Sus scrofa: one gene and its partner. The protein of the gene in region 1 interacts with the protein of each later gene in a pairwise test. Links are inferred from orthologs where the notes say so. Each region holds a gene or a part of one and is shown on either strand. Other genes may lie near its edges. The genes, in order: PIAS4 and SMAD7.

Evidence for each region.
Region 2: the proteins of PIAS4 (region 1) and SMAD7 interact in a two-hybrid assay, tested with the Homo sapiens proteins (2 studies listed by BioGRID and IntAct). The link is inferred for Sus scrofa from reciprocal best matches to the Homo sapiens genes PIAS4 and SMAD7.

Annotation. Positions count from the first base shown.
Region 1 is NC_010444.4:74,724,509-74,736,244, reverse strand, and holds the start of PIAS4 (E3 SUMO-protein ligase PIAS4), read left to right. Parts: upstream 1-6,452; 5' UTR 6,453-6,534; coding exon 6,535-6,561; intron 6,562-11,692; coding exon 11,693-11,736.
Region 2 is NC_010443.5:98,509,281-98,519,850, reverse strand, and holds the end of SMAD7 (mothers against decapentaplegic homolog 7), read left to right. Parts: intron 1-5,030; coding exon 5,031-5,569; 3' UTR 5,570-7,051; downstream 7,052-10,570. UniProt on the Homo sapiens protein: Antagonist of signaling by TGF-beta (transforming growth factor) type 1 receptor superfamily members; has been shown to inhibit TGF-beta (Transforming growth factor) and activin signaling by associating with their receptors thus preventing SMAD2 access.

The DNA of each region.
Region 1 (11,736 bases):
ACAGACCATGTCAGGGGGCTGGGTTGATGGAGGGCGGGCATGGAGGTGGGGTTGTTCTGGTCCAAGACCGAGACGGTGGTAGCTGAAATGGATGAATAAAATGTGGGCCATTCATACAGCGGAATTTTTTTTTTTTTGTCTTTTTGTCTTTTGAGGGCATATGGAGGTTCCCAGGCTAGGGGTCGAATCTGAGCTACAGCTGCCAGCCTATGCCACAGTCACAGCAATGTGGGATCTGAGCCTTGTCTGCGACCTACACCACAGCTCACGGCAACGCTTGATCCCTGACCTAGTGAGAGAGGCCAGGGATCGAACCTGCAACCTCATAGTTCCTAGTCAGATTCGTTTCCGCTGCATCATGATGGGAATTCCATACAGTGGAATATTATTCATTTACACAAAAGAATAAAGCATTGACACAGACCACCACACCATGGATGAACCCTGAACATAGGATATTCACTGAGAGAAGCCAGTCACAAAAGACCTCACAGTGCGTGATTCAATTTATATGAAATGTCCAGAACAGGCAAATCCTCAGAGATAGAAAATGGGATAGTAGTTACCAGAGACTGAGAAGGGAGATGATTAATGACTGCTAATGGGGATGGGGTTTCTTTTCGGGGTGACTGATAGAAATGTTTTAAAATTAGAACATAGTGGGAGTTCCTGTTGTGGTGCAATGGAAACGAATCTGACTAGTACCCATGAGGATGCAGGTTCGATCCCTTGCCTCATTCAGTGGGTTAAGGATCTGGCATTGCTGTGAGCTGTGGTGTAGGCTGTGGGATCTGACATGGCTCAGATCCCACATTGCTTTGGCTGTGGCATAGGCTGGCAGCTGTAACTCCAGTTCGACCCTTAGCCTAGGAACTTCCATATGCCAAGGGTGTGGCCCTGAAAATAAATAAGTAAATACACAAATAAATGACATTAGAACATAATGAGGAGTTCCCGTCGTGGCGCAGTGGTTAACGAATCCGACTAGGAACCATGAGGTTGCGGGTTCGGTCCCTGCCCTTGCTCAGTGGGTTAACGATCCGGCGTTGCCGTGAGCTGTGGTGTAGGTCGCAGACGAGGCTCGGATCCCGCGTTGCTGTGGCTCTGGCGTAGGCCGGTGGCTACAGCTCCGATTCAACCCCTAGCCTGGGAACCTCCATATGCTGCGGGAGCGGCCCAAGAAATAGCAACAACAGCAACAACAACAACAACAAACAAAAAGACAAAAAAAAAAAAAAAAGACTAGCATAATAAACTATTATATTAAAAAAAAAGAACATAACGATATTAAAACTCATTAAATTGTACCACTTAAATCTCTGACTCTGTCCATTTCACCACATCCCCTCTGGCCCCCACCCTGGTTCAGGATCCTATCATCACTTGCCTTGGTGACCGCACCAGCCTCTTCCCTGGCCTCCTGCTTCCACTGCAGTTCCCCAATATCCACTTTTCACAGCTGCCAGAGAGATCTTTGCAAACAAAATTATAACTTATCATGCGGGCTGGTTAATTTTATGTATCCACTTGGCTGAGCCCTGGAGGCCTAGATATTTGGTCAAATGTTACTCTGGATGTTTCTGTGAAGGGTTTTGGGATGAATTGATGTTTAAATCAGTGGACTGTTAGGTAAAACAGATTCCCATTCCTACTGTGGGTGGGCCTCATCCGATCAGTTGAAGGCATGACTAGCACAAATAGACTGATCTTGCCAGGAGATGGCCTGCAGACTTGAGCTGCAACTTCAGCTATTGCCTAGGTCTAAATATTCAAGAGCAATTTCAATGTACTTGTTCTCCTAGGTGATCTTGGTGGGTCACTTAACCACTCAAGACTGATTTTTTCATCTGTAAATTGGACCCAATAATGGTACACATTTCATAGGGTTGGTGTGAGGATGAGGTGGTAACATGTTAAATGCTTAAGACATAGTTGAACAGTAAATATTAGCTGGTATTATTACCATCAGTAGCATTTTGGTGATTTCTGTGGGAAGTGGAATTGCAGGTTGAGTAAACCTAGCCATTTTCCACACTGGCTCATTTTTCCCCCTTTTTGGCCACGTGCATGGCATGCAGAAGTTACTAGGCCAGGGATGGAACCTGTGGCATAGCGGTGACTGGCACCACAGCAGTGACAATGCTGGAACTTAAACCAGCTGAGCCACCAGGGAACTCTTGCATAGGAATTTTATTTTATTTTTTATTTTTACTTATTTATTGGTTTTCACATTTTTAGTGGGGGCCACTGGGGAGGAGGCCTCTCTTACGCTGTCAGTGGAGGTGCTCACAGTTTCTTCAGCCACTCCAAGCTTGGGCCCCGGGGGTCCCAGGGGTGGCTGAGCACTTAGGCCATGTTCCCGTCATCTCTGAGGGGCACTGGGTAGTTGTAGGGTGTGACCTGGTTGATCATAACAGCATAGCTGGTATAAGGGCTGAGTACAGGCAGAATTATAGCAAGGCCCCAGATGGTGAAGGATGACACCAGCACCGACCCTTCAGCTCAGGCATTTTTCAGGAAGGCAGCAATTCTCACTGCCATCTTGGCAGTGGCGGCGCCCCCCAGCACATGAATTTTTTTTTTTTTTGTCTTTTTTTAGGGCCACACCCGCAGCATGTGGAGGTTCCCAGGCTAGGGGTCTAATCGGAGCTGTTTTGCCAGCCTACACCACAGCCACAGCAACACCAGATCCTTAATCCACTAAGCAAGGCCAGGGATCAAACCTGCAACCTCATGGTTCCTAGTCAGATTCGTTAACCATTGAGCCATGACGGGAATTCCCTCCCTAACATCTTAATATTAAGCTAGACAACCTAGGGAATAGGAGTAAACAGTTGGGAATCATATATCTGATGAGAGATTAATAGTAAACTTACAGCTCAACAACACAAAAAACCTCTGTTTTAAAAATAGGTAAAAGACTTGAATAAACATTTTTATCAGTGTTGCATGAAAGGAGAGGTTAGCACTCTCCTTGACGAGGATGGAAGAGGCCCTCAGGCCTAACAACATGCATTGCCACCTACTTCGTGGCATCTAACTATGGTTTTTAATGGAAAAAATAAAAATCATTATAAATGAGGAAAAAAACACAGAAGATATACAAATGACTAATAAGCACATGAAAAAAATGAGAATCCTAATCATAGATTTAGGGAGTTAAAATCAAACCCCAGTGAGATACCATTGCATACCTATTAGAATGGAAGAAAGGAAGGGCCAAATCTATCCTGACAACTGTTCTTTTTTATTTTATTTTATTTTATTTTATTTTATTTTCCCACTGTACAGCAAGGGGGTCAGGTTATCCTTACATGTATACATTACAATTACAGTTTTTCCCCCACCATTTCTTCTGTTGCAACATGAGTATCTAGACATAGTTCTCAATGCTATTCAGCGGGATCTCCTTGTAAATCTATTCTAGGTTGTGTCTGATAAGCCCAAGCTCCCAATCCCTCCCACTCCCTCCCCCTCCCATCAGGCAACCACAAGTCTCTTCTCCAAGTCCATGATTTTCTTTTCTGAGGAGATGTTCATTTGTGCTGGATATTAGATTCCAGTTATAAGTGATATCATATGGTATTTGCCTTTGTCTTTCTGGCTCATTTCACTCAGGATGAGATTCTCTAGCTCCATCCATGTTGCTGCAAATGGCATGATGTCATCCTTTTTTATGGCTGAGTAGTATTCCATTGTGTATATATACCACATCTTCCGAATCCAATCATCTGTCGATGGACATTTGGATTGTTTCCATGTCCTGGCTATTGTGAATAGTGCTGCAATGAACATGCGGGTGCATGTGTCTCTTTTAAGTAGAGTTTTGTCCGGATAGATGCCCAAGCGTGGGATTGCAGGGTCATATGGAAGTTCTATGTATAGATTTCTAAGGTATCTCCAAACTGTTCTCCATAGTGGCTGTACCAGTTTACATTCCCACCAGCAGTGCAGGAGGGTTCCCTTTTCTCCACAGCCCCTCCAGCACTTGTTATTTGTGGATTTATTAATGATGGCCATTCTGACTGGTGTGAGGTGATATCTCATGGTAGTTTTGATTTGCATTTCTCTTATAATCAGTGATGTTGAGCATTTTTTCATGTGTTTGCTGGCCATCTGTGTATCTTCTTTGGAGAAATGTCTATTCAGGTCTTTTGCCCATTTTTCCATTGATTGATTGGTTTTTTTGCTGTTGAGTTGTATAAGTTGCTTATATATTCTAGAGATTAAGCCCTTGTCAGTTGCATCATTTGAAACTATTTTCTCCCATTCTGTAAGTTGTCTTTTTGTTTTCTTTTTGGTCTGACAACTGTTCTGAACAGCCCTTGAGCTAAAAGTGTTTCTCTTTTCAGTGTCTGAACCAAAATTCAAATAATATTTCATTATATGTAAAAATTCTATAAAATTCAAATTCAGTGTTTAGAAATGAAGGGATTTTTGTTTTTGTTTTGCTTTTTAGAGCCGCACCCAAGGCATATGGAGGGCCCCATGGTACGGGTCCAATCAGAGGTACAGCTGACGGCCTACTCCACAGCCATGCCAGGTCTGAGCTGCATCTGCAACCTATACCACAGCTCACTGTAACACTGGATCCTTAACCCACTGAGTGATATGGATCAAACCCGAAACCTCACGGTTCCTAGTTGGATTTGTTTCTACTGTGCCATAATGGGAATGACTAAAATGAAGTTTTATTGGTACATGACTATGCCCACCGAGTTGAGTAGTTGCTACAGATGCTGTCTGTAGCTTGTAGAGCTGAAAATACTTATTATCTGGATCTTTGCAGAAGATGTTCGCTCCTAATTCAAAAGTGTCTGGCATATATTAGGTTTTTGATATATGGAGAGATTATCACTGAATATCTGCTGGAACAGTCTGATGCAGTTTATAACCGTGTGGAGAAGGTCAGACCTGGATTAAGATTCTGGTGCTCGAAGTTCCTGCTGTGGCACAGCGAATTAAGGATTCGATCCCTGGCCCAGGAACTTTGATGTGCCCCAAAATAAAACATTGTAAAAAAAGTAAAACAAAACCCTGCAGAGTCAGAGTTTTGGGTGAGGTAAATGAGTTATGGTGAGGTGAGGGAGGTATTGACTGCAACTGCAGAGTTAGATTCTCTCTTAAATTAGTATTTTCTTCATCATGGAGTTTTTTTGCATTAATTTTTCTTTTTCTTTCTTTCTTTTTTTTTTTTTTTGTCTTTTTGCTATTTCTTTGGGCCGCTCCTGCGGCATATGGAGGTTCTCAGGCTAGGGGTCCAATCGGAGCTGTAGCTGCCAGCCTACGCCGGAGCCACAGCAACGCAGGATCCAAGCCGTGTCTGCAACCTACACCACAGCTCACGGCAACGCCGGATCGTTAACCCACTGAGCAAGGGCAGGGATCGAACCCGCAACCTCATGGTTCCTAGTCGGATTCGTTAACCACTGCGCCACGACGGGAACTCCTGCATTAATTTTTCTTAAAAAATATTGCACAGGAGTTCCCTAGTGGCCTAGTGGTTAAGGATCTGGCAATGTCACTGCTATGGCTTGGGTCGCTTCTTCGGTGCGGATTCAACTCCTGGCCTGGAAAACTTGCCATGCCCTGAGGAACAGCCAAAAAAAAAAAAAATATGTATATATATCTCTCACATATATCACACAAACATTTATCTTGATAACAGGGTCATTTGGGGCACTCAAATTTCGGCTAATTCTTGCCCTGATATTTATAATGTCAAGGGATGGGCCCTGAAATACACAGTTTTGTCCTCTTTCTTCCTGCTTTTGATACAAGAAACTTTGAGCTCTGTGGCCCGCGAGCACTGAGGAGCCACAGAGAGCTCTTGAGCAGGGGAGTTTCCGGTTAGTGCAGATTCCAAAGGTTTACTGTGGATGGGGAGCCAGAACTAGCGAGAGGAGTACGCTTACGGGTGTGAGGGATGCACGAGCTCCGGGAAGTGGGCAGGAGGTCCCGCATTTCTCCGCCGGGAGCCAACTAAGTGGGGGGCGCCGCGCCCGAGCCCCCTCTGCCGAGCCAGGACCCGGATGTATAGCACGCCTGAGGCTGCACAGCGCTGCTCTGCAAGGCGCCTCGCTGCACGCATTGGCAGCTGCTGAGCCGGCCAACTGTCTTCTCCCCGCCCCCACGCCACCGGGCGTCCGGTCAAGCACCTGGCAGCCGCCTCGCACCGGGGACCCGCAACACCTTGCTGCATTGTTGTCGCCTCTGCTATCTATTCCCTCCCAAGACAGGACCCAGCACCCACCCCTACCTGTGCGGCACTCGTGCGCCTTTAAGAAGCTAGACGCAGCCAGGGGTGGGCGTGGTCGCCGCGAGCTAAAGAGGGGGGCGGTGTCGGGCCACCCTGATTGGCCCGAGGCCCGGGCGGTGGCCGCGCGCGCCTGCGCAGTGCGCGGTCGCGCGCGCCGCGGGGAGGAGGGCGCGCGGGTGCTAATTGGTCGCGGCATAGGCCCCGCCCGCGAGTGGAGGGCAGTCACGTGACGCGACGGCTGGGGGCTCCCGGCGCGGGGGACGCTGGTGGCCAAGATGGCGGCGGAGCTGGTGGAGGCCAAAGTGAGTGAGCGGCCGCGGCGCCGGCCCGGGAGGGTGGGGGGTGCGTGGACCGGGCGGCAGGCCGAGGTCTGCGCCTTCCGCTCGGGGTCCTGAGACACAGCCCGCTCGCACCTCGGCGTCCGGCCTCCTCGCCCGCCCCTGGTCCCCGGACTCCGGGTGCGGGCGGGGCGCGCGGAGGCCGGGGGCGGGGCCCCCGAAAACCTCACCCCACTCTTCGCCCTGGGGGGTCGGCCCCTGGGCTTGAGCTTGGGGTCCCCTTCTCCAGCTCGAGCGGTTAGGTTACCTACAAATCTCCCTAAACACGGGCACAGGGCCGCGCCTCCCAGCTTGAGGCACAGTCCCCACGGACAGCTTCACGGGCTGAGCTGCTTGTCTTCTCGTCCCAAACAGGGGTCCGCGCTCTTTGGCCTTTGGGATTGTCTGCGCGTCTTCTCTCCCGCCATGGCTGCCGTCAGGGTCTTAGCCTCCTCGCCCCAGCCGACTAGCCGACTAGACTGGGGTTGGCTACTCCTTGCTCAGAAGGGTCCCCTGACTCTTCTGCCACCGCTTGCACCGTCCGGAGTGATGAGCTGGGGTCCTCAATGTCCCTCAAAAATAGTGTGTCTCTTGGGGTCTGTACGCTAAACTGGTGTTTGGGGCCCTGTTCAGCTCCTGCTCTGGTTCCAGAACCCCGCCTCCCTCCCGACACCTTCCTCACCCTGGAGTGGGCTTGGTGTTAACTGAGTGTGCCCCCCTGGGATGGAGCTCTGGCCCCTGTGTCCAAGACCTTCCCATCTCTCTCCTCTCAGTCTTCGGTTCTGAGCTCTGCCTTCCTTCTCCCTCTTCCCCTTTAGGACAGCATCTATGCCCTTTTGGACTACTTCTGGGGGTTCTAGTCCTCACCCTTGCGGGATCAGACTCTTATTTCCCAACCTTGGCTGTTTCCTCTGTATTCTACTTCATTGTGGATCTACTGCTCAGATCACACTCCCTTTCCACCTAGCCCCAGAACCCCTGCTTTTGCATCCCAGCTTTGGCATCTGAGGCCCCTCTCTCTTTCTTCTGGTCTCTCGTGTTGGTCCTTGGAAGGTCTCTGATTGACTGCAGGGTAGGATTTTTTCTGTAGGGTAGTTCCTAGTGCTTCTCTGCTGTATTCCTGTTTGGGGTCCAGGTTCCACATCCCATAGATACCATCCCTTCTCTTAGCTTAGGGTCCTTTTTAACCCTCTTGGGACTAAGCTGGAAGCATCAGTTTTCCAGAGATGTATTTTCTTCAAGGTAGCCTCTCTGAGGTGAGGCTCCAGAACTCTTGCCCCTGACTGCACGAGACTTCTTCTGTAAGAAGTTTACTCAAGGCCACAGGTCTCAGGGATGTAGAGGGCAGGACCTTTGCAGAACTGAGGCACCCCCACCCCTCTGGTCTGTCCTCCCCAGGGTCTTGACCTGTAAATGTTTTCTTTCCCTTTCCTTACATCTCCCTTCCCTTCCCACTGGGGTCTGAAATGAAGCCCTCAAGGTTCTGTGATTATAGGGTATTACCCTCCCTTCACCCCTGAGCTCCCTCCCCCTGTACCTAGAACACATGCTTCTGCTCCTCTGGAATTTTGAGAAATTGAGTACCTGCCCTAGAGATGTGCAAGCCCAAGGCAGCAGCCTGCAACCTGAAGTCCCCTGGAGCCCTGAAATTTAACCTCCTCTGCTGTGGGGTTTTGGCTCTGGGCTCCCGCCGATCCTCCAGCCAGAGAGTGGGGTCTGAACTCTTATACCATTCAGGGCCTTGAAATATGATCTGATGAACTCTGCTTGACCCTCCAGTGGCTGCCCCCCCAACCCCAATTAAATCAAGTTGACCCTTTTTCTTGTCTTTTGTCTTTTTTTTTAAAGCTGCACCCACAGCGTATGGAGGTTCTCAGGCTAGGGGTCTAATTGGAGCTATTGCTGCCGGCCTACGCCAGAGCCACAGCAACGTCAGATCCGAGCCGCATCTGCAACCTACACCATGGCTCACGGCAACACCGGATCCTTAACCCACTGAGCAAGGCCAGGGATCAAACCCACAACCTCATGGTTCCTAGTCGGATTTGTTTCCGCTGCGCCACGACGGGAACGCCTTATAATTTTTTTTGTCTCTTGTCTTTTTTTTAGAGGACCCTTTTTCAAGTTTTCTAAAATGTGAGCCTCCATTCAGGGGGGCTCACGACTGCAGCATAGCTTGCTCTGATTCTAGGGAGACTTCTTTTTCCTCCAGTGCTTTGCTGTCACCAAGAAGTGCTTACTATACGTCTCATTGAAATATCTCCCTCTTTTAGGAGCTTTCTCACCCTTTTGTAGTGAGAACCAGAGATTTTGTCTTTTGGAGTGCAAAATGGGCTGGTTCGAGGGGAGGGTGAAGGGGGCTTGTTGATAAACTTGGAAATCTGAGACTCTTAACCTGAGACGGGGTGGTCTAGAAAGTCCCTGAGAGGAGGGTGCGTAGTAGTTTGCACGGAGCTCTGATTTCCTGGAGAGAGGAGCCCCTAAGTTGAGCACAGCTACTCTATCAAGGCTGTTGTTTCTCTAGGCAGCTCCAAAGGAGCCTAGAGTTGAGGCTCTGGAAGCTGCTGGGGCCTGGCGCTGTTTATAAACACAGATCCGAGGGGCAGGGTCAGTATGAAGCCACAGCAGGAAGTGTTCTGCAAAGCGCTTGGGGCTTCTTCCTGAATGTTTGCACCCTGCTCGTGCGCCCCCCCCCCCACCAGTGTCAAGGGCAGGCTCCTGGGTGGTGGCAGCTGCTGAGAAATACGAGTTGTGAACATATGGCAGTTTGAGGGGTGTGCCCCAGGATGCAGGAGCAGGAGGCGGCTCCGGATGTCCAACCTGGTGGACGGGGTAGGTGGGGGCAGGGGCTCCCAGGGGCGGGGTGACTCCAAAAGGCCAAGCCCACCTGCCTTTGACTCCATGGCCAGTGGTCAGCTTCCACATGACATCGCCTCTCCCCTTGAGTGCTTTGGGCCTCTTCCAGAAGAAACATCTTGTCTGCAATCTTTTCTTCTCTCCTCAAGGTGGGAAGTCAGGCCGAGGGTGGTAAAGCCTCTTTGTTTTCAGAGTGTTCAGACTCTCCAGCAGGCTGCTTAGGGCCCTGTGAGGGGGTGTGCTGGGGATGAGGGGCCCCCAGGCAGCTGGGTGTGAGTGGAAGTAAGCAGCTCAAGGAACCTGATGGTCTCAAGTCCAAATGCCAGCCCTGCTGTCCACACTCAGGAAAGCCTTGGGTCAGTTGCTTCCCTCTTGGAACTTCAGTTTTCTGACCTGTATAGTGGGCATGAGTCCTTGTGAGCATAGTGACCGTGAAGGCCCTTATGCTTGCCATTGGCGGACACTCAGTGTCTGCAGTGCAGGAGTAGAAAGAAGATCCTACAGCAGGAAAAGTGTCCCCCTCAAGGCTTTGCTGGCCAGGCAACCCTGTAGGTTTGTTTGTGTCATTTTGAGCCCAGCACACCCCTCTGCTACCAGCAGAAGCCTAGTGCTGTACATCTGGAAGGGATGTTAGTCAGTTCCCACCTTGACTGAAGTGCTGTGAAGCTTGGCAACAGGCCAGGGTCACCTGGGAACCTAGGGCAGAGTCTGAACTTAAACCCAGGGCTCCTGAGCCCCAGGGCCATCATCAGATTCCATGGCTGACTCTTAAGCTGCCGGAAAGCAGCAGCCTTCTGGCTTTGAGGCCACTACATGAAGAGCCTGGCAGGTGAACCGCCTACCTCTGACTGGCAGACTTTTTTTAGTTGAGTTTAAGTGATTTATTGTTTTTTTGGGGTGCTATGCTGCCCCAGGCATGTCAGCTTTCCACATCCACTGTTGTCGATTGTACTTTTTATTTTTCCCTTCCCCCTAGAAGTTTCTTTTCCCCATTACATTTCACTCATCACAGGCCAGCTTCAGGGCTCAGCATGGGTGGCCCCCAAACCCTGCTGGCCTGTCTCTCCAGGATATGTTGCTTTAGTAGCATATTGGGGAGCCCAGAGTGTCACTGAGGGCAAGCTACCACCAGTTAGTTTCACTGCACTCTTGTGTTTGGTTTGACTTCATTGGAGGGGCCCTGCGAGGTCATCACCTGCCTCAGCCCAATTAACAGCATCTATGGCTGCTGGATCCTGGTGCCTCTGTCAGCCTGATTTTGCCCCCAGGGGACACTTGGTGATGTCTGTGGGACTGGGGTTTCGGGTACTCCTGGCATCGAGTGGGTGGAGCCAGGGATCCTGCTTCACACCCCACCTTGCCAGGGACGGCCCCATCCCAGAGAATGATCCAGCCCTGGCATCCACGGTACTGGGGAGGAGGCATGCTGGTGAGCCCCGCAGACGCTTTGATGGCCTCGACAGTGCTCAGCTCTCTGTCGGTGCTGGAGCAGCCTAGTGGGGAGGAGCCACCCCTAGCTTCAGAGATGAGTTTGGATCTTGTTCCTAATTGGGGCTCACTCCAACCTGGTAGGAGTGTTTGAAGGATCAGAGTCAAGTTTATAATCACACAGCCCGCTCAGTCCCCTTCAGGTGAGTTGTGCCTAAGGAAGTGGTGGCAGCCGTCCTCCAGAGCAAAGGGAAAACATGTTTTTTGGCTGATGTTGGTTGAGCACCCACTCTGCTTTGCGTGAGTCACCTCATCTGGTCCTTTCCACATCCCAGTGAGGTGGGCCTGTTGTCCTCCCTGATGAAGAGACTGAGGGTCAGAGAGGCCATCGGTGTTCTTGGCTGGAGAGTAGTTAAGTCTGTTTACAGGGAACCAAGATTCCCAGGTCCTGCCCTGGAGATGCTTTTACGCTTGAAGATGAGAAAAGAAAGAGGACCTAAAATAGAAGTAGTTTGTGGGGGGAGCAGTTAGAGGAGCTTTTGCTGCGTTGGCGATGCTGAGGAAGGTTGGAGGAGGTGGAAGGGAGCAGGGCTGGGCTGGGAGGGGGCGTCACAGGGAAGGGTGAACTGGCAGATTGAGCACGGGCATGGAAGTGGGACCAGGCATGGGCCAGTGGGACGGGTACCAAAACTGCTGCCTCCTCCTTGGGGGGCTGGGCTGGCCAGCCGCTGGCAGGGTCTCACTTCACCGTCCCTCCACTCAAGGCCCAGGCGGCCCCTCACCCTGGCAGCATCTCTCTCTGAGCCTTTTTGTCTGTGGTTGCTCTTCTCAGAACATGGTGATGAGTTTCCGAGTCTCCGATCTTCAGATGCTCCT
Region 2 (10,570 bases), on another chromosome or scaffold:
AAGAAGCACCCTGGCTTCTGAAGGCAAGAACCTGTGCCACCCCCTGCCTGCCCCCTAGCCCAGCCACCCGGACCCGCATTGCAGAGCTCTGAAGGAAAAAAAAAAATCCAACTTTTCCATCCTGCTTTCTACCAGCCAGAATTCATTCTCCCTTCCATTTGTCCAAGGAGCTCAGGTGGTAGTGATGGGTTGGATCTGCGCATTTTCTGGGTAACAGAGTTAACTGAGAGTGAGGTTGTTTCACCCCCCACACACACAACCCGGGTTGCTTGCTCTGAACCCCAGAGCTGTCTTTGCTCCCCCGACAACCCGAGGGAGCGGCGGTGGCGTCATTGCTTGTGTCCCGGATGGGGTGGCAAACGTGGCTGAGAGCTGACCCCGGAGCCCAGACGGAGCCCAGACACCCCAGCCTGGTTTTATGTTTGCTTTAGTTTTTTCGGTCATTTGCTTCCTGAAAACTGGAGCCCAACAAGAGTCTTTGTTAATTGTATTTGAGATGAGAGAGTCGATAGGACGGAGTGGTACCGAGTCCTTTTATCTCAGTCCTTGTCCCTGAAGTGGGCCGGTTGCTCTCAGAACAGCCCGTTTCCTGACCGGGGTGGGGAGCCGGGCTGACGGGTGCTGTTAACCTTTGAGATGAGTGATGGAGGGGGCAGGACGGATGAGGCAACCGTGGTGGCGCCGGGAGTCCCGAGGAGGGAGGACCCTGGACCTGAGAGGGTGAGGCGTGGCAATGTTTGCGTTCCAGGGTTGTACTTCTGAGTCTGCATTTGTGCCCTTCGTTTGCCCTCATCAGCCTGCGTGAGGCAGTCATTTCCGCCGGCTCCACCCCAGCCGGCTGCTGTGCAGGACCACTGGGGAAGGGGCTCGAAGACCCACCCGACTGCTGGATAATGAGAGGGTTGGATAAAAGAAGTAATCCCTTGGTAATCCAAGCGCCTTGCAGAGATGAGATCGGGTTGAGACCCACCTCCCTTTGCCCATCTTTTAGTCCAGCCACCTTGAGCCCTGGCCATGGGGCTCATTGGATTCCGAGGGTGCGAGCTGCTGTGGCCCCATCTGGGCTGGCTTGGTTTCTCAGTTGTGTCCCTGTCCTGAAAAGTCAGGATCTCAGGGACCCCCTCCCCATCAGCACCCCCTCTGTGTGTAAGCTCAGGTCAGACGGCCTTACTTCTAGTGTTCTCAGAATCCCACTGGGTGTCTTAAAACAGTTCTGCCTCTCTGGCCTCCTGGTTGCCTCCTTAAGCTGAAGACCAGAAATAGTACTATTGAGGCCCTGAACTTGGCCTTTCCTCCCACCCCCACCCCCAGGTTTTTTCTTCTTCATTGCCTCACACCTTCAAATACAAAAATTTTAAAGGGGGAAATATCTCTCTTACCTAAATTGGGGCCTTGAGGTCTGGTCACCCTGTGCCATTGAGATCCCAGGCAGGAGATTCATTCATGAGCCTCTGGCCTTCTAGAACGGTCTGGTCTGTTCATTCATGACCAGGGTAATTAAATAACTCTTTGTACGAGGTCTCGTTAAGTGGTCTTCCCTAATGCAAGTGCAAACACGAGGCGAAATCCTTCCCCTTCTCCACCCCCGCCTCCCCCTTTCCTTTTAAAGGGTAGATTTTATGCTTTAAGGGAAATGGGGAAGGGGAGGGGGGAAAACAACCTGAAAGGAATTTTAGGCCGATTCAGCACTTTTCTGGGGTTGCTCCAAAAATTCCCTAAACTGTAATAAAAAGAAAAAATTGTGAGCAGGCATCTGATTAGCTAGCTTTTTACAACACAGCTTTTCTTTTGGATGAGTTAAAATGCACAAATACAGTTTTAAAACAAGCCCCTGTACAGTTTTCTGAGGCGGGAGAGAAGAAGTTGTTGGAAATGCCGGAAACGGTTATAAAAGCTGAGGGAAATTAACAAGGGACTGCGAGTTTTTGCCTTTGGAGGCTGAGAATCAACCACCATGATACGAAGGCGCTTCCTTAGTCCTTGTAATCAGGGGGACTTTTCGGGGCGAGATCCTCCCAGCTGCTCACCTCAAGGAGGCCTGGGAAGCCCCTGGGAGCTGGGCGTCAGCACAGACCTTTGTGGGGAGATGCTAGTGGGCTGTGGGCCCAATTTAGGGAACTGATTCTCTGAAGATGTCGCTGCATGCTTCCCAGAAATGAGCCCAGACGGCAGGTCGTTCAGGGCAAAGGAGGGAGCCCTGCGTACCAGGCCCCCAGCAGCGTGCCATGTAAAAGGGACCTTCTCTCTTGCACTGGTTTTGCCTGAGAGCCTGCTTTTTGGCTCAGATAAAGTCAAGGAGGAGCAAAAGAAAAGAGATATCAGGGTGCTAGGGGGCTGCTGGGTGACATGGGGGGGGTCCTGCTGCCCCCGATTAGGGCACCAAGTGGGCTTTCAGGGGCCTTATTCACATCCAGGGACACCCACACGCTGCTGTTTATCTGGGCTGGGCCATTAACCTCAACAGCAAAAGGCTTTTTCCAGGGGATGTCTGGCAGCAAATTGCTGGGTGGACTGGCGGGCAGCACAGATGAAAGAGAAACCCGCCAGAAGGCCCCCCCCCTTCCCCTCCCCTCCGCTGGGCGACCTCAATCCTCTGCCCCCGCCCAGCTTCCTCAGCCCACAGAGGCCCCCCATCCCTTGTCTGTGGGCCTGGCACCGGGGCAATTTGATCCCTAGGACCCTGTCCTCCTCCTCCCCCTCCCCCTGCCTCACCTCCCTGCTCCAGCGGGTGCCAGGTTTCAGGGGAGCTCCATGAAACAAAGTATTGTGAGGCTCCCCCAAGGGTCTCCCGAACCTTCCTCCCAGCAACTCTCGAGTCTTCCTTTCCAGGCCAATTTGTTGTCCCGAGTTGGGAGCATAAGCGATAGCTTATATTTCCAAACACCCTCCCCGCTCAGACAGGCAGGCAGGTAAGGGCTTTCTCCTCCCTCAGCAAACTTGGCTGCCAGGACATTTTTATTTACATGGATGTTATGGGTCTTTGGTGTAGCCTTCAGAGCTGAACTCCCTCGGCAAGAGGGTTCAAAGATTGCCAGCGCTCGCGAGTTTATTAGCAGTTGATGGATACTTTGCAGAAACAAGTTAATGCCTGACGAGTCACCTTCAGCTTGGAGCCCTGGTCCCTCTCGTTTTTCCATATGTTCCCGGGTGTGTGCTTGCAAACACACACACACACAGAGCACACACTCGAAGTGCGTTCACACTATGCTCATGGACACAGCCTCTCCCACACTTGAGCTTTAGAGATGCATGGGGGACGCAGGTGACCAAGTTTCTGGTGTTGATATTTCATGGGGTTGGGGTTGAGGGGAGGAAGGACCCCTCAGCTTTCCCCATTTTTGTAGCTGTCCCAGCCGGTGGGGTGTCTAGGGGATTGCCACTCAGGGTGGGTGTTGGTGGCTGCCTCGATGGGTAGTACATTTGTACAGACTTATTCATACATAGGATGCCTCCATGCAAGACTGGCTGCTGCTTTAAAAAAAAAAAAAAAAAAAAAAAAGTTAATGGAGCTGCCTGGTTTGGCTCCCAGGCCCGAACATGCCTAGAAACGTTGGAAGGAGTTGGCATGCTGAGCTGCCCTGGCTCCCCGGCCTGCGGGGATGGCGGGATGCGGGGCCTGAGCCCTCCTCCAACCCCCAGCCGCTGTGCCATATAACCCATCATCGCTTCCAAAAATCAAAAAGGCCTAACAGAGCAAAAGACACCTCCCGCCAACCCCTGCCTTCAACCCCAAGCCCCCCAGTAACAGAGAAGCAGGAGCTTACAGGGAGGGCGGGAGGAGGGCTCTGCCGCCGGCCCTGCTCTCCCCTGCCTTTCCCCATTTTTGTTAACAAATACAAGACTTCCGGTCTCCGCCCTGCCACCACAAACCGCAGCGTTCCTGCAGCCCGGCTGGGCTCGGGAGATTTATGGCTCCCAGTCTGAGGCCTACCCCGCCGGCTCCAGCTTGAGGAAGAGTCGGAATGCCAGCCGCCGGGGCCCCCTGGCTTCCATATATCCTCCCTTTTAAAAGACCTCCAAGCGCCTGTTCAGGAAAAATCACCTTAGCAGACTCACCCCAGCCTCCCCTGCTGGCTGCCGTGGGAAGAAAGCACGTCTAGGAAAGCCGGGGTGGGGCCTCCAGGGGCGGACAGAAGAAGGAGGGGGAGGACACCCAGTCTAGATGCTTCTGGGGAGGGAGGGGGAGGAGGAGGAGGAGGGTTCCCCCCCGCCAAAGGCATGGTTGTACCCACTTGAGACACACAATCTTCCATCTGGGCCGGAGGTAGTCGGGGCTGACACCAAGTTGCATGTTGTGACTTGGCGTGTTGACAGGAGCTCACCCTTTGTGTACAGAGCTGCCGGGGACAGACACACTGAGTTGTTTTTCTATTAGGAAGATAGGTATTTTTATCCCAAGCCACCTCCATTAAAGTTTCCCCCAGACAGTGCTCCCTGATGACCAAGGCATTGATCTGAGGACTGGGTGACAAGCACAGAGACTGTTTAGCAGGTGGTCCTGGGGTCAAGGTCTGGCTGTGTCATCCCTGGGGCCTGAGCAACAGACTTCCTGAGGCCAGGTTTTCTCATGAGGATGACAAGGGGCTGGAGCAGCTGGCCTGCAAGGTTCCATCCAGTTTAAAGGACTATAATTTTAGACCTGTCTAGAAGGCCTCTCCCAGCCCTAAAAGTAAGCCCTCCAACTAAGTTACTAAGTGGTCCTGGCTTCTGATTCTGCAGGGATGGGGCTTCCACTGGTAGGGTTGGTGTCCTGGGTTCCTGATAGGATGCGGGGGAGCAGAGGGATCAGGGACCCCCATGCTTTAGAGGCCCCGCTCTTCCATCACTGGGTTAAGATCTCCAAGCCCCCCATAGGGGAACTGTACAGCCTGTGGCACATCCAGTGCCCTATCATCTCTTTCTGTCTTGCACTGAGAAACAGTGGGCCTGGCGGCCCAGGAGTGCGGATGTGCACGTCATCTTGGTTTGGGAGGAAGAGGAAAATGCCAGTCCCCATCATCACCCACCATGTCTGCCATTTTGTCTTCTAGATTCCCAACTTCTTCTGGAGCCTGGGGATCGGTCACACTGGTGCGTGGTGGCATACTGGGAGGAGAAGACGAGAGTGGGGAGGCTCTACTGTGTCCAGGAGCCCTCCCTGGATATCTTTTATGATCTACCTCAGGGGAATGGCTTTTGCCTTGGACAGCTCAATTCGGACAACAAGAGTCAGCTGGTGCAGAAAGTGCGGAGCAAGATCGGCTGTGGCATCCAGCTCACGCGGGAAGTGGATGGCGTGTGGGTGTACAACCGCAGCAGTTACCCCATCTTCATCAAGTCAGCCACACTGGACAACCCGGACTCCAGGACGCTGTTGGTACACAAAGTGTTCCCCGGTTTCTCCATCAAGGCTTTTGACTATGAGAAAGCGTACAGCCTGCAGCGGCCCAACGACCACGAGTTCATGCAGCAGCCGTGGACTGGGTTCACCGTGCAGATCAGCTTCGTGAAGGGCTGGGGCCAGTGCTACACCCGGCAGTTCATCAGCAGCTGCCCATGCTGGCTGGAGGTCATCTTCAACAGCCGGTAGCCTCGTGGGGGAGAGGACAGAGCGGGAGCCGAGCGGGCCCAGTCCAAACTACTTTGCTGCTAAGATTTTCCTCCTGAGTGCTTGCTTTTCATGCAAACTCTTTGGTCATTTTTTTTTTCCTTCCTCTCGTCGTTCTTGTTTATGTTATGTTTTGTTTTGTTCTTTGAGAAATAGCTTATGAAAAGAATTGTTGGTTTTTTTTTTTTTTTTTTTTCCTCTTCGGGGCGGGTTGGGGCGGGGGCAGGGGTGGGCAGTGGTAAGGTTGGCAGAACACCCAGATCTGAAAAGGGGAAGCAAAAATCAGTGCCACCAAACACAGTGTAAATGGGGAGCAGGCCCCAACCTTGGGGTCATCGTAGCCCTTAGTAGGGCTTATGTGTGAGTGAGTGTGTGCGCGTGTGTGAGTGTAGATGGGGGAGGCGGTGTGCTCTGTGTTGTTAACTACGAATGCTCCCAAGCTGTGTCTCTAGCCCCTTGCACCTGCGCAGTGGGGCAGCAGGTCTCCCAGCAGCTGCCAGCAGCAAGGTTGTGTCCCCAGCCTGTGGAAGCCCCCCTGCCCCTCGCCACCCCTTCCTAGGACATTGGCCTGTCCGCAGGCTTCTTCGAAGCAGCTCTACAAGAAGCCGAACCAGAACCTATTTCCCATGCTGTCTCACTCGCCCCCGCCCCCTCCAGCCACCTCCCTGCCATCGTCCTTTCTCTTTTGGCCACCTGCTCCTGGATTGTCTCTGAGATGGACTTCCTGAGGGCTGCCGGGGCAGCCCCATTACAGTATTGCTCACCCAGTGCCCTCTCAGGCCCCTCAGCCTCTCCCCGTCCCTGGTTACATCAGGTTTTTCCTGGATTCAGAAAACCAGCTCAGCATTTTCCTTCCCTCCGCAGCCTGTGTGCTGAGCTCTGCTGTTAGACCAGTGAGGGGAGCAGCACCCCCCTGCCCCCCGCTCCCCCTTCCCACCAAGAAGGATTCGGTCCATTGTAACCCAAGGTACCATCCTGAGCTGACACCCCTAACTCTTCTCATTTCTTCTACAACTCATACACTCGGATGATACGTTGACACTGCTCTTAGCTCAATGAGCATGTTTAGACTTTAACATAAGCTATTTTTCTAACTACAAAGGTTTAAATGAACAAGAGAAGCATTCTCATTGGAAATTTAGCATTGTAGTGCTTTGAGAGAGAAAGGACTCCTGAAAAAAACCTGAGATTTATTAAAGAAAAAATGTATTTTATGTTATATATAAATATATTATTACTTGTAAATATGAAGACGTTTTATAAGCATCATTATTTATGTATTGTGCAATGTGTATAAACAAAAATAAAGAAAAGATGCACTTTGCTTTAATATAAATGCAAATAACAAATGCCAAATTAAAAAAAGATAAACACAAGATTGGTGTTTTTTTCTATGGGTGTTATCACCTGGCTGAATGTTTTTCTAAAGGAGTTTATGTTCCATTAAACAATTTTTAAAATGTATACTTGATTCCCTTGTTGTCTTCCAGCTCCTTTTTTTTCCTGGTAGGAGGGGAGTGGGGAGGTGCAGAATCCAGGACAGTTGGTGTCTCCTCGTGCTTGGTTGGGAGGAAAGGGGGGGACCACAGAAGGGAGAAACATCCAAAAGAACTTGGTCTTCTCTGAATGCTAGAAAGAGCCATACCTGCACAGATAGCACCTTTCTTATAAGGCAGTAACCCTAGAGTGTAGTTGGTGGGTGTCCTGAATTTGTCAACCTCAGGGAGCCCTGAGTTACAAAAGCAGGTGACTTTTTTCAAAGCTTGAAAAGTTGAGTTCCTGATGTACCTCAGCAGGGTAAGAACCCAACTATAATATCCATGAGGATGTGGGTTCCATCCCTGGCCTCCGTGGGTTAAGGATCTGGTGTTGCTGCAAGCTGTGGCATAGGTTACAGATGTGGCTCTGACGTGGCACTGCTGTGACTGGTGTAGGCCGGTGGCTGCAGCTCTGATTTGATCCCTTGCCTGGGAACTTCCATATGCTGCAGGTGCAGCCTTGAAAAAAAAAAAAGAAAAAAAATCTTGAAGAGCTTAGTAAAGAGAGTTTCATTTTGAATGATGGGCAAGGGGAAGAGGAGGTATAGTCCTAAGAACTTGGGGTCCATCTGATTCCTGCTTGCCAGCTCCTTGCTGTATGTTCAATCCTGACACTACTGCACCTTTCCCTGAGGAAGGTCACTGCCACAATGGGTTCCAGGACAGCTTCCCTGAGGGCTGAAGCCCTGGAGTAGAGATGAGGCACAGGCTGTGCTGGTGGTAGGAGGAATCGGCCACCTGGGTCTGCGAAGTTCTGTACTGCACACTCCGAGAGGACTGAAAAGAAGTCTAGCTCCTACACTGCACTCTCTCCAGTTTGCTGTTCCCTTGACTCAGCCCAGCCCCAGTGGCACTTGCTGGTAACCTACCTCTTCAGAACTGCCCCTGGGATTTCCACTGCTCTCTTGATCCACTCCTTGATCTGATCCACATTTATTTTATTTTTATTTTTTTGCTTTTTGGGGCCACACCCATGGCACATGGAGGTTCCCAGGCTAGGGGTCCAATTGGAGCTGCAGCTGCAGGCCACAGCCACAGCAACACCAAATCCAAGACACGACTGCAACCTACACCACCGCTCACAGCAATTCCGGATCCTACCCCACTGAACAAGGCCAGGGATCAAACCTGCAATGTCATTGATACGCTTCAGGTTCATTACCACTGAGCCACAATGGGAACTCCCTGATCCACATTTTAGATTCAAGGCCTTTTGTGCAAGAAATGGGTCCAAACTGGGCACCCGATTAGGTGCTTATGTCAGGGGGTCTTGAACCTTAGACCCAGGAAGGGGCTCTCTTAGAAGTGGGGCTTAAGATTTTGGATATCACAAACCAGTACAATTTCAGAAAACGTTTTTTGGAGGGACCAAATAGGATCACCAATTTTTCATTTTGCCAAATGACACCATGCATCACAGCCTACCGGCACCACCATTTAATTCGCAGGAATTGTCATCCACTTGTGTACTGAGAATGTTAATACCTGTTGCTTTATGACCCAGAGGTTAGTGCCACATGGTCATCTTGGCCAGCTTATTCACAAGAGGTGATGGGGAGCTCACTACCTCCTGTGGCAGCTTTTTATCAGTTAAACTAAAACCTGCCTCCATTTATTCTAGTTCTGCAACCTAGAATAAGCGTAAAATCCCATGTCTGGAAAACACCCAAGGAGGGCTCTAATTAACTCCCGGGTGGTAGCAGTGGAGGAGGGGCGGGGTGGAAGGTGTTACATTAGGGAGCTGTCAAAGGCATTTTCCTTTGCTCTAACTTGCATCAGCATGCCAGGAAGCTCTTTAATAATAATAATAGCTACCATTTATTGAAGGCTTAGCTGGTTGCCAGGCATGGTGTTAAGAGTTTAAGGGAATTATTTAATCCTCACTAGGACCCCCTGCAAAAATGGAGGCTTTGGGAGGTTAAAAGATTGGCCCAAGGTCACTGGGCCAGGGAGTGCAGTTTTAGGGGTGGGGGGGATTGGGGGCCGACTCTGGTATCACTCCTTGGTCCATACCCTATAGAGACATTATTTGATGCAGTTTGTTGGGGTACCGGGGGCCCCATATTGTTTGCTCTGCATGCTGCATGGGCAGAACCTCTGGCTCTGGAGGCAGGAGCTATGGGAGCAGCACATTCCCACCTGCCTCAGTCACCTGGACTCAACTCTCAGCCCCATGAGGTTAGAACTGGTCTGAGTGCCTGTGGACCCCATGGGGTGGCTGGCTCTGGGTTAGGGAAAGAGGGATACTTAGGGAAGACCCCAAGTTTGCAGAACCTGGTCCTGAGCCACCATAACCAGGGGCACCCCCCCGGGAACCTCCGAAGTGCCGGGGTTGCTGTAGGGAGCACCCAGGTCTCGGTGGTGCTGGGGGACAGGCTGCCCACACCAGACAGTGGCCAGCAGCACAGATGGAGGGGCGCGTACCCCGGACCACACGGAGCTCAGAGGAGCGAGGACCTGCAGCCCAGGTGAATGTGGATTAGCAGAGGGCAGGAGGGGATGCCCCGTTGGAGGGAATTCTCCTGCCTCCTGGTTCTCCTTCCTCTCCCAGCTCACCAGTCAGGTTTGGGGGTGTGTCATAGGCTTCTGCCCAGGGCTCTCTTCTCAGGCCACACCCTGTCCTCGGGGTAACATCGCTTCTACTCCGGTGCCTTCATCTCCCCCCACCTGTGGATGCCTCAGCTGCTCTGGCCAGAAGCCAGATTCTCCCACCTCCCTTGCCCCATCCCCCACCATGACACAGAAATCCAGATCCCTGCCTCATTCTACCCATAATTATACAACGCAAAGCTTTCTCACGTATGGGCCCCTGCTCTCTCCCCACTAGTACGATTGAGTCCAGGGCCTTCTAGTGACTCCTTGGCCTTCCTTCCTCTGTTCCAGGTGCCCTTTCAGCATCTGCCTCTGCCAGCCTCACCCTTTAACACACACATACTCACGCAGACACGCAGACACACAATACATACATATATAGACCCACACATACACACGCATAACACACATGCAGACACACAATACACACATACACCCCATAACATACACACGCACACACATATACAGACACACACACACGATACATAAACATGCATGCATATAACACAAAGCGGTCATACACATACACACATATACAGAATACATACATAACACACACACAACAAACATACATGTATGCACATAACACACATGCAAACACACACACATAACACACACATATACACCCATAACATACACATGCAGACACAACATGCACACATATAACACACATGCACAACACATATGCATATACACATATAACACAAAGCAGGCACACACCTATACATACTTAAACAGAATACATACATAACACATACACACATAACACACGTGTGCACACACACACACATCCCCTCTGTCCCGGGCAGGCAGAGTGACTTGCAGTTCTTTAAACATACTTTGTTTACGTGCC